Linked DNA regions of Arabidopsis thaliana. The protein of the gene in region 2 interacts with the protein of the main gene of each other region in a pairwise test. Each region holds a gene or a part of one and is shown on either strand. Other genes may lie near its edges.

Region 1 (3,642 bases), on a different chromosome or scaffold from region 2:
GATAAATATCGAAAATATACAAAAAAAATATATCGTTTTGATAGTAGTTTATCATTCAAAGCTAATAAAAACAACGATAATGGTAAGTTTTAAGAATTTTTGTTTTTTTCCAATGCATGTTTAGTGTATACTATGCAACCGACATGGATCCAAAGGACATCAACATTATTTGCGTTAGAAAACTGTTGTTGTTTTCTTTTAAGAGGAAAAGTCAAAACCAATTGATATAATAAATATATTGATCCATATGATATCACTCAAAGTTCTTTCTTGATTTTAATGTGCGAGATAGCTCACATGTCTCCTTAAAATAATCAATGACCCTTCTAATTATTAATTTCGACAAAATCTCATCATAATTAAAATTGATTTCGGTTTAGATCAATCGGACCAATTTTGAGTCTGCTTAATTTCAGATCGGATTGAATGGACCCACTTTGAGGCATGCATCCATTTGTTCGAGTTGGAGGAACGTGTGTCTCCATCGGAGAAGAAGAAGAATTGTTTTTCTTTCTTTCTTTTTTTAGTTTTTTTTTCTTACTTTTTTCTCTTTTAGTTTATTGCAGCTTACTCTGATCCTAATTATCTAGGTCAATTTAAAACGTAGTATTGTAGATAAAAAAAAATTACGATTCATGTAGTTTTTTTGGAGAATTGAACTTTCTGACGTTGGTTTAGAAAAGACCATAAATTTGTAAATAAAAAGCAAAAAAAAACATAAGTAGAAACATCCCTTTCTTCACTCTCATCGCATCACCTCATACAACACAATATAAGTAGAAACGACTCTCATATTATCTCCTAATGAACCATTAGACGTTATCTTCTCGGGTTTGAATTCGTGTTAAGTTATATTGTAACAAATGCTGCCACCTTTGATATGAATTTAATAATACAATTTTTAAAAATTGCAATATAAAAAACATCCACAGAAACATAAATACACACGTGCAAACAAAAATGGGGAGCAACACTAATTCAGTTCTAAAGTCTCTTCATCAAACCGAGCCCAAATTTGCTCAAAGTCAAGCGGTAAGGTCACACCCTTTGCTGTTTCCGTAGCTTCTGGACCCAACACATCTGCCTCCAGTAAACTTTCCCACCACATATTATCTCCATCCAATAGATTAATATTAATAAGCTTATCTTTTTGCTCATCTTTGTTACATGTAATACTACTTTCACAAACATAATTGTTGTTGAGTCCAAGATGTAAAGGAACAACGTCAACTTTTGGCAAGATATTGACATCGTTGCAACTATTTTTATCGGAGAAGGATCGAGGCCGAGGCTTTAAAACATCGATTTTTTGGGCCGATGAAGTAGGATGAGAAGTAATGTTTTTGTTTATCATCTTCGTCTTACAGCATCGTTCATCGTGCTTCTTACTCAAATGAGTGTTCCAGTAATTCTTGACATCATTAGCAGTCCGACCAGGCAATCTACCAGCGATCAAGGACCACCTAAACATTGTGAAACAATATACATGAGAGTTTCTAGTATTGAACCGCGATCCCTAAAGAAATAGTATTGACTATCGAGAAAACAATACCTATTTCCTAGAAGTTTATGAAGGCGAAGAACAAGATCAACTTCATCGGAGCAGAGTTTTCCTCTCTTAATACTTGGCTTCAAATAATTCAACCATCTAAGTCTACAACTCTTTCGGCACCGATTGAGACCTATAAAACCAAAAGTCGAATTTACTATACCTACTTAGATTTCTTTTGTACCTCCTTTATCTTTATCATGAAGAATATATGCACACCAATCGATATAAATAGTATTTTCATGAACCACCTTAAAAAGCATGAAACAAATACCAGTTCTTAAAGGAACTCGATGCCATTTGCCTTCTCCATACTTATCAATGCATTGCCTCAAGAGAATATCTTCTTCAGTAGTCCATGTACCTTTTCTCAACCCTTTGGGTGATTCGCCCATGGAGCAAAGATAATAGAAAATTATCTCACAAATTTTATAAAATTTATATATATGGCATGTGTGAAGCCTTCACAAATTATTGGAGGTTTTATATAGAGAGTGCAGTGACTGCCATATTTTATATCCACGTTTAATTCATGCTGAATTTGCTAAAAATTAGTTTGTTTTGCTATTGTTTAGACAAGAGAAATGGTTCACTGCACTTAGCAGCCAGACTCTTCGTTCTTTTTAATTACGTATAATAATAACAATGTCAATAAATCTGTTTTGTACTTCTACATGGTTGTCTTTCTATTGCAACATTTCTTCAAAATATTACAAAAAAAAGAAACTAAAGTTAAAAAGTTATAATAATGTTTTGTTAAAAAGTTATGTATGTTCAACTAAAGTTATATATTTTCATTTTCTGGTTATTTTTGATTACTAAAATATGTTTAAATAAAATTGCAACAGATTAATTGAACTGTTATAACATTTGATCTATATGGACGAATCATTGCAACTTTTGATTTTGTTTTATGAGCCGTTGTAATTTTTTTTATTTAATAAACTTTTAATTATCTACTGTTGCGTATTTCGGTATAACTTTTTATATAATTTAGAAATATTTATTTATTTAAATAAAGTTGTAATCGTTATTCGACGAATCATTGTAATATTTGATTTTATTTTATAGACCCATGTAATTCTTAGTTTATTTTGACTGAGCATTGTAACTTTTATAATATTTAATATATACGACCTCATCACTCTGTATAAATTGTTATATAACTAATTTTTAAAACTAAAATATATATTTAAATAAATTATTGCAACCGGTTTATTGAATCAATGCAACATTTAGTTCTTAAGTTAAGTAATTATGTGCATTCTTAATGTGAATTAGTCCTTGTGGTTCTACTCTTAATTGCTTCATCGATAAGATCGCTAGTGCATTAAGATTATTAATTGAGTAAATCACTACATCAGTTTGTGTTATTGTTTTCGCCGTATCATCACAGGAATTTCTTGTAGTATAGAGTCGATCTAGAAAGCAACATCCTCCGCATCATCAGTCAAGGCGCCGGAGACATCGATCCACTCAAGCTGCAGCTCTATCTCCCCTCGTTCAACATTCTGAAGCTTAAGGAACATGTTCTGGACAATCTTTCCTTTGTGCCATACAATCTTGCTCTCTTCTGACAAGCAGTTTTGTCTGCTTGCCTGTATCTTCATTATTACAGTCCCCTCAGGTAGTCCTCCTAGTTGGTTTTGGATTCTGATGGCTTCAAGGAACGGATCAATGTGAAAAATCGCATCTCCCATCTTATCATCCCTTGAGAACCTGTCCCTATCGTACACCATCTGTTTATAACAAAAAAAAAACACCAATTTTTCTTGTTAAGTCTTGTTTCAAACTTCCAAATATAAAGAATCCATATTGTGGTCTAATCTAATGTATCGTGTTTGATTTGGTTGTAATGTCGAAATCACTTACGATCTTGACAGGAAGAGTTGGATCAGTAACAGAAAGTGTCAAGTCTTCGTTCCATTCTGTATTCAAATTCTTTTTCATCACACGGGTTCGTAGCTTCTGCGTCCAGAAAGAGTCATAACATAACCATATAAGATAAATAGATTATACACAAATAAGAAATGCACGAACAAATCAAAAACTTGTTGAAAATGCTTTTCATTTTTAGCTACTTTTTTTTTTGT
Region 2 (6,248 bases):
CTAATTGTTTTGAGACCAAACACACAACTATTACCAAACCTTACATATTTTAAAGCTATTTCTCGATATCTAACATTTTAGTTTAATTATAGACATAACCGTTTTGATGATTAAAATAGTTAAATAAAGATTATGATATTTATTGGGATAATTTCTTTTCAAACACTATATTATTATTTATTAAGAAAAGACTTTCTTGGTTTCAAATTAGTTGTCGTTTGAGATTTTTTTCAGGCTTATTTTTAAATATTCATTTATGTTTTCTGTTTTAGCATTAACTAAACTAAAATAATTTATTCTTTTCTGTTTTAGCATTGATATTATCAATTAATAAACTAAAAGAAGAAGGGGCAAATTGAAATTTTTGTCAATAATTGTATTGAAAACACAAAACCATAAATAATTTGAAGCAAACTTGAACGTCTACAGTTACAATTAATTTGAAACGAAGTGGGTATATTTTTCAAAGGTTAGAATATTTTTAGAATCTATATAAAAAAAGTAATTAAGGATTAACATTTGTTAACAAGAAAAACTAAACACGATCTATAATTTGATCTCTGGTAATGATTCTTTTTAGCAGTAAATGAGGAAATTATTGCATCAAAACAATTTTATAAACCGAAAATGAGAAACCGAAGAACTCGTGCCCTCGTCATTTTGCCACCGACACCTTTGACTTTCTATAAAATATCACTCAACTCCTAACATTTTTAAAATAACATTATACTTCTTCTGTAGCCGTATATTCTCGCATTACTTCAGTTCATGCAGACAATTTCAGAACCAGAAGAAGCTTCTTACGAAGACAATACAAGTTACAACAACGACCGTTTAAGAACACTAGTAGATAAAATATCACTAACTAAATCATCAACCAAAGCAGAAACAATCTCTCCTTCCATGTCTATTCCTTCCTCAAACATCTCTCTTTCATAACCAATCCATCTCCCTTCAAAACAGCTCATGTCATGATCCACAAGCTCGTCGATCATCATCTCTCTCATCTTCTTCAACCCTTTTACTTCTCTGTTCACTTCTTCAGCCAACAAATCTCTATGTTCCAACAAAATCCCACCTGACATCATCATCCCTTTGCAGCTTCCAATTAACATCCTTTCAAATTTCACCGCTAAGCACTGATTCACACAGTCGAAAAGCGCCTTTCTTTCTGTCTTCATTGACGTTGCAGCTCCTCGAGAGCGTTCCATTTCATCAAAGAGGCTGGAGGGTAGTAATGATTCATTAGTGGTTGTCCCTGAGGCGAAGTCTTGAAACATGAGCTGCCCAGAGTTGAGGATCTCGGTTATGTACTCGAGCTCCCAATCGAGTGTTGCTGATTCTGTTTCATCTAAGGTGTGCTGGGACTCGTTGGATGAACCCCAAGTGAGCTCTTGATCTGATGAACTCTGTTTCATGCCTGAAAAAACCAACAACATTAAGCTTATCTAGCTGCAAATCAAACCAATACTAAGACTATTAGGTGTGAATTCAAATCCTGGTGAAGAAAATCTAGACATAAATTCACAAAGACATACCATATTCTCTGTCATGTCTGCAATCTGAGATACTCTTGCTGCAGGAGAGTGCAAAATCATCAGCTTCTGTAAGAGTGGTGATGCTGCTAACTTCTTGTTCTTCTCCCTGTATTACCTTCTGCTTCTAAAAGGAAAAAGACAAGATTTTCTCAGAGACTGGTAAGCCGGAAAAGCATTCGATATTATAGAATAGTGAAGCTATAGTTTATGGAAACTAACCTGGACTTTCTGGCTGTTAAAGAATGAAGTGCAGTCAGAAACAGATTCACTCTCTGTTAAAACTCTATCAAGACTGCTTTGAGTCAATCCGCTATATTTGGAAGGCGATGAAATCATCGCATTCGCTCTATCTTTTGAAATGGAACTCAAGGGCTCTTCTTGGATCAAGCTAGAGCTAGATGATTCAATCTTCGTTGTCAATTCCCTGAGCTTCTGCTCCAAAAGCGCATTTAAAGAATCACCACCTATCACATTGAACCTTATAGCAGAGTCTGCATCTTGTTTGGTTCCTTGTGAATGAGGAGATGATAAACCTTTGATCGAAGATGAGAAAGTGAAAGATATCACATCCATGTCCCTTTTCTGATCATCTTTACTAGTACTCGAGTCGCCATCAATGGAAATGTTACATTTTATCGACTTTTCACCCCTTTTGATCCGCTTATCTTCATAAATTCCAGATTCTTGCACTCCATTCCGCGGTTTTTTGCTTCGAGGAAGACTCTTTTTGCGGGATAAAGGTAAAGAAGTGGGTTTTTCTGCTGATGACATAGTAAATCCTGAGCTCTTCGATATAGATCCACTTTCCACAAGAACCTTATTTACTACTTTGTTCATTACTCTCCTGGATTGCTGATTGTCTCTGCAGTTCTGCTTCTGGTTGTTTTGCCTAAGCACATTCTTTCCGGTACTCAAGGAAGATCCTTTGCTACTGTTTTGGCTTTTAACCGCCCTATTCTTAGCTTCCACTTTCTCCTTTTGTCCCGAAGACATCCTCTTGTTGCCACTTGAAGACATTGATAAGCTGTCTTGCTTCTGATTACTGCTGACTTTTGCTTGCGCAGCGAAAGAAGGTGGCTTCACTTCACCACCTTTCAAAGCATCATAACTGTTTTTCCCCAATACTGTAGTTTTCTTCTCGTTTTGATCTCCTCTTAGGTACCTACTGTTCCGAGTATCATTAGAGATTTGAGGAACTGAAGTTGACGCTTTCTGCGCAGCTTCAAGTTTCTCTTTCAAATCTCGAATCCTCAATGGAACTGGAGAAGAAGAATCAGACGATGACACCATCCGTGTTCTTGCAATCATCCGTGGACTTTGCTCGATCATTCTTGAAGCAGCTTCCATTACATAAGCAGGGTTCCTAGATGGAACAAATCCAGGATTCCTTATTGGAGACAAGAGCTTATTGTGAGTGACAGAGATCGGTTTAGCTGATCTCGGGGGTAAAGTTTCGGTTTGAAACCGCTCAATCATCCGTTTACGCGGCCCTTTACTGGTTCTTGAATCCAAATGATCCCAAGAAACACCATCGAAGTCACTCTGACGATCAACATTAGCATCCCAAGTGTTTGCTTGGCGCGAGGATCTGAGAAAGTATGGATCAAGATCAGGATTAACCCGTGGTTCCAAAACGTTTGGTAGTGGTAAACCCTCTAAACCCATAAGCCTCGCTACCACACTTGCTCTAACCACATTTCCATCATCACTAGTAACAGATGAAGCACAACAGCTAGAGTCACTTCTCGGGTTGTAAGTTGGGTTCTTTACACTCTGATCAACTTCAAACTGTTGTAAACAGATCACACCAAAGAACACAAATAGTTCATGTCATTCAGTAAACTAACACAAAACAAAACATTGCATCAAACAAGGAAAATGGTGTTGAGTAAGAAAAGGCTTACAACAGAATGCGGCGTAATAGAGGGGTTTTGAACATTCTCTTTTGCTTGCTTAGATTCTTCTGTTTTAAAAGAAGAAACTTTAGATTATTAAACTTCATTACCTTAACTTATATATACAACAAAAGCTGGAAGACATACCAGAGAGTTGGGAGAGATTGGAAGAGAAAAGCTTCTTCCTGGATTTTCCATGCCAATCAAACAGATTTAGAAACGCTCCTCTTGGTCTTTTTCTCTCAACGACGTCCATCTTAATTTACCTATGGATCAAAACAATTGAATCAGTTTAATTTCAATGGAATGCACTTATAAGACGCTGGATCCCATCAAACAACAAGACCCCAGATAAAAAAGATCAAAACTTTTCCATTTTATTATAATGAATCACCCAATTTCAGCTGAAGGATATAGAGAATGTGATTGATATAGCAGAAGATTAAAGGAAATTAGATCAGGAATGAAATTTGATTACCTCTCAGTTTCTCAGGCTGCCAAAGATCTCATTTTTTACTTATGGATCCATCCATTAAGTGTAATTTGCAGAAACCCTATACCGAATTCAGCAAAATGAGAACCCAGACAGACACAGCTGAGAGATGTTTTGCAAATTGGATTGACCCAAATCGAAACAATGGTGGCTTTGGGAGATCTAGCCCTAAAGATCGACCAAAGCTCTCCACTTTTATCTCTCTCAGCTCACGAATCGCACTGTAGAACAAGAACAACGACCATGGAAGAAGATAAAAACACAAAATGAGATTTATCAAATCAGACAAACAAAACAAAGAAAATATTTGGGGGGTTTTGGAGGAATGCGTAAGATCAGGAAGGCTCAAAGCAGATTTGAGATTAGGGATTTGGGTAGTGAGCTAAGAGAAGTGAAGAAGCAGCAAGAGACGTTTTTAAAAAAATGAGAGAAGCTGAGTTTGAATTGAAATGACGACAGAGAGAGCCGTTGCAAAGAGAGAGAGAGAGAGAAAGACAGACAGAGACAAAGAGAGTTTTGAATTTAGGAAACTGAAAGCTCCCTCCTTTGAGCTATTAAAAGTGTTTCTTTTTTCTATACATAAAAGGAAAATCTTTTGTTTCAACAACTATTTTGGCTTTTATACATATAGCATGATCTCATCTACAAATATATATAGCTTGATGATGTTTTTTTTTTTTTTTTGTCACAAGCTTGATGATGTTTATATTTGGTATCCAATGCAGATGGAAATATATAGCTTGATGATGTTTATACATGTTTCAGTTCAGTTTGCAGTTTCAAACATAAGAGAATTTGAATTGGTTAGGGGACAAAAAAAACACATAATTTAAAAGAGGTCATAACGATTCAATTTTCAGGTGTAGAAAAATAAAGGCAAAGACTTTATTGTAAACAGTGCAATCACTGTATATATTAATATTCCATTTTGATTATTATAAAATTATTTCGTTGGGCATTACCACAATTCATATTTGTGTCCGTCTCACAAGGGCTCCACTTTCGTATAGTTTTGAATATTTGTAATATGCTGCATTCTATGATTCGAATTACTTAAAAGTTCAAATTTTTTTTGGACTCTTGATATTTCACAATCAGTTTTTTTTTTTAAAAACAGAATAAATGAGTAGAGGAAGTTGTTGTGGTTTGAGTTGCTTCGAAGTAGCGAAACCAAAGAGAGTAGAGTATATGAGAACGATGTCTGAACAATTCGATAAAATCCCTAGGAAGCTTTACACGCATGAAGACTTGAATCTCACAATGCAGAGCCGATAGTGAATTCATACTTTTCAAAGTTAAACTTCCGAAAATAAAATCAAATTAATAACATTTCAAAACTTTTAATCAGTAGTTTACTAGCTGTTACAAACCGAAATATTTTAATAAACAGAGAGAGAAAGTTAAAGAGACAATGACAAAACACAAACCAACATGGTTGAAAGGTTGACTCATATATATATATATATATATATATATATATATATATATATTGAGTATTTAATTTCTTATTTTTAATTCCAAAAATCATTATTTTAGATCAATAGTTTTTATTGATTTTTTTGTAAACTATTGAATAATAGAGAATTTTAAATTTTCCTAGATCCCTAATTCCAACATACTTATTTCTCTGTTGATTCTTTTTATCTCCAAAATCGACTTTAAAAGATTGATATTCAATAGTTTTAATCAAACAGTTTCTATTTTAAAAATCGTTGAAACCAAATCTCGTGGATTTCTAGATCTATAACTATTAATTCAAGAAGATTTAGATATTGAACTTTTGTTTCGGAAAGAAATAGATATAAAATTATTTCTTCGAGGACATATAGATCGTGCTCACAAATCAGATTCTATCTAGTATGATGTGTCGAGGAAATAGACTGTTTTCCGGAAGAGATAGTCGAAATTCGTATATGGGCCAATCTTTATAAGAAAATAACCTTTAGAAAAGTTACACTAGAAGAAAGTCCGGCCCATCTTTATAAGAAAACTATTATGGGCCAAAATAAAGGTAGGCCCATTAACCCAGGGAAATAATATATCAGTGATAAATCCTTCTTCTGTCCCCTTCCTCCTTAAACCCTAATCTCTGTACTCTCTCTTCCTCAATCCCTCCCATGACCACCGCAGTTTCGCCGCCGCCGCCGCAGGAGCAGCAACTTGTTCACGCTTCGCAGACTTCAAGAGTGAGTCCCAAGACAGTGGAGAGCGCCCTCAATGGTCTTATCAATTGGAGAAGCGACAAATCAAAGACAGAGAAGCCTCAACTTCTCGAAGAAGACGAGCTCGTCTACCTTTTCGTTACTTTGAAGAAGATTCCAC

Evidence for each region.
Region 1: the proteins of TRM7 (region 2) and MYB113 interact in a two-hybrid assay, tested with the Arabidopsis thaliana proteins (one large-scale study listed by BioGRID).

What each region holds. Positions count from the first base shown.
Region 1 is NC_003070.9:24,751,936-24,755,577, reverse strand, and holds MYB113 (myb domain protein 113), read right to left. Parts: upstream 1,990-3,642; 5' UTR 1,945-1,989; coding exon 1,824-1,944; intron 1,683-1,823; coding exon 1,553-1,682; intron 1,464-1,552; coding exon 974-1,463; 3' UTR 817-973; downstream 1-816. Other genes in the region: AT1G66360 (Calcium-dependent lipid-binding (CaLB domain) family protein), read right to left, coding at 2,971-3,288, 3,422-3,517. UniProt on the Arabidopsis thaliana protein: Transcription activator, when associated with BHLH002/EGL3/MYC146, BHLH012/MYC1, or BHLH042/TT8.
Region 2 is NC_003074.8:21,695,531-21,701,778, forward strand, and holds TRM7 (GPI-anchored adhesin-like protein), read right to left. Parts: upstream 4,469-6,248; 5' UTR 3,912-4,468; intron 3,700-3,911; 5' UTR 3,690-3,699; coding exon 3,581-3,689; intron 3,502-3,580; coding exon 3,443-3,501; intron 3,327-3,442; coding exon 1,758-3,326; intron 1,663-1,757; coding exon 1,539-1,662; intron 1,421-1,538; coding exon 819-1,420; 3' UTR 542-818; downstream 1-541. Other genes in the region: AT3G58660 (Ribosomal protein L1p/L10e family), read left to right, coding at 6,044-6,248.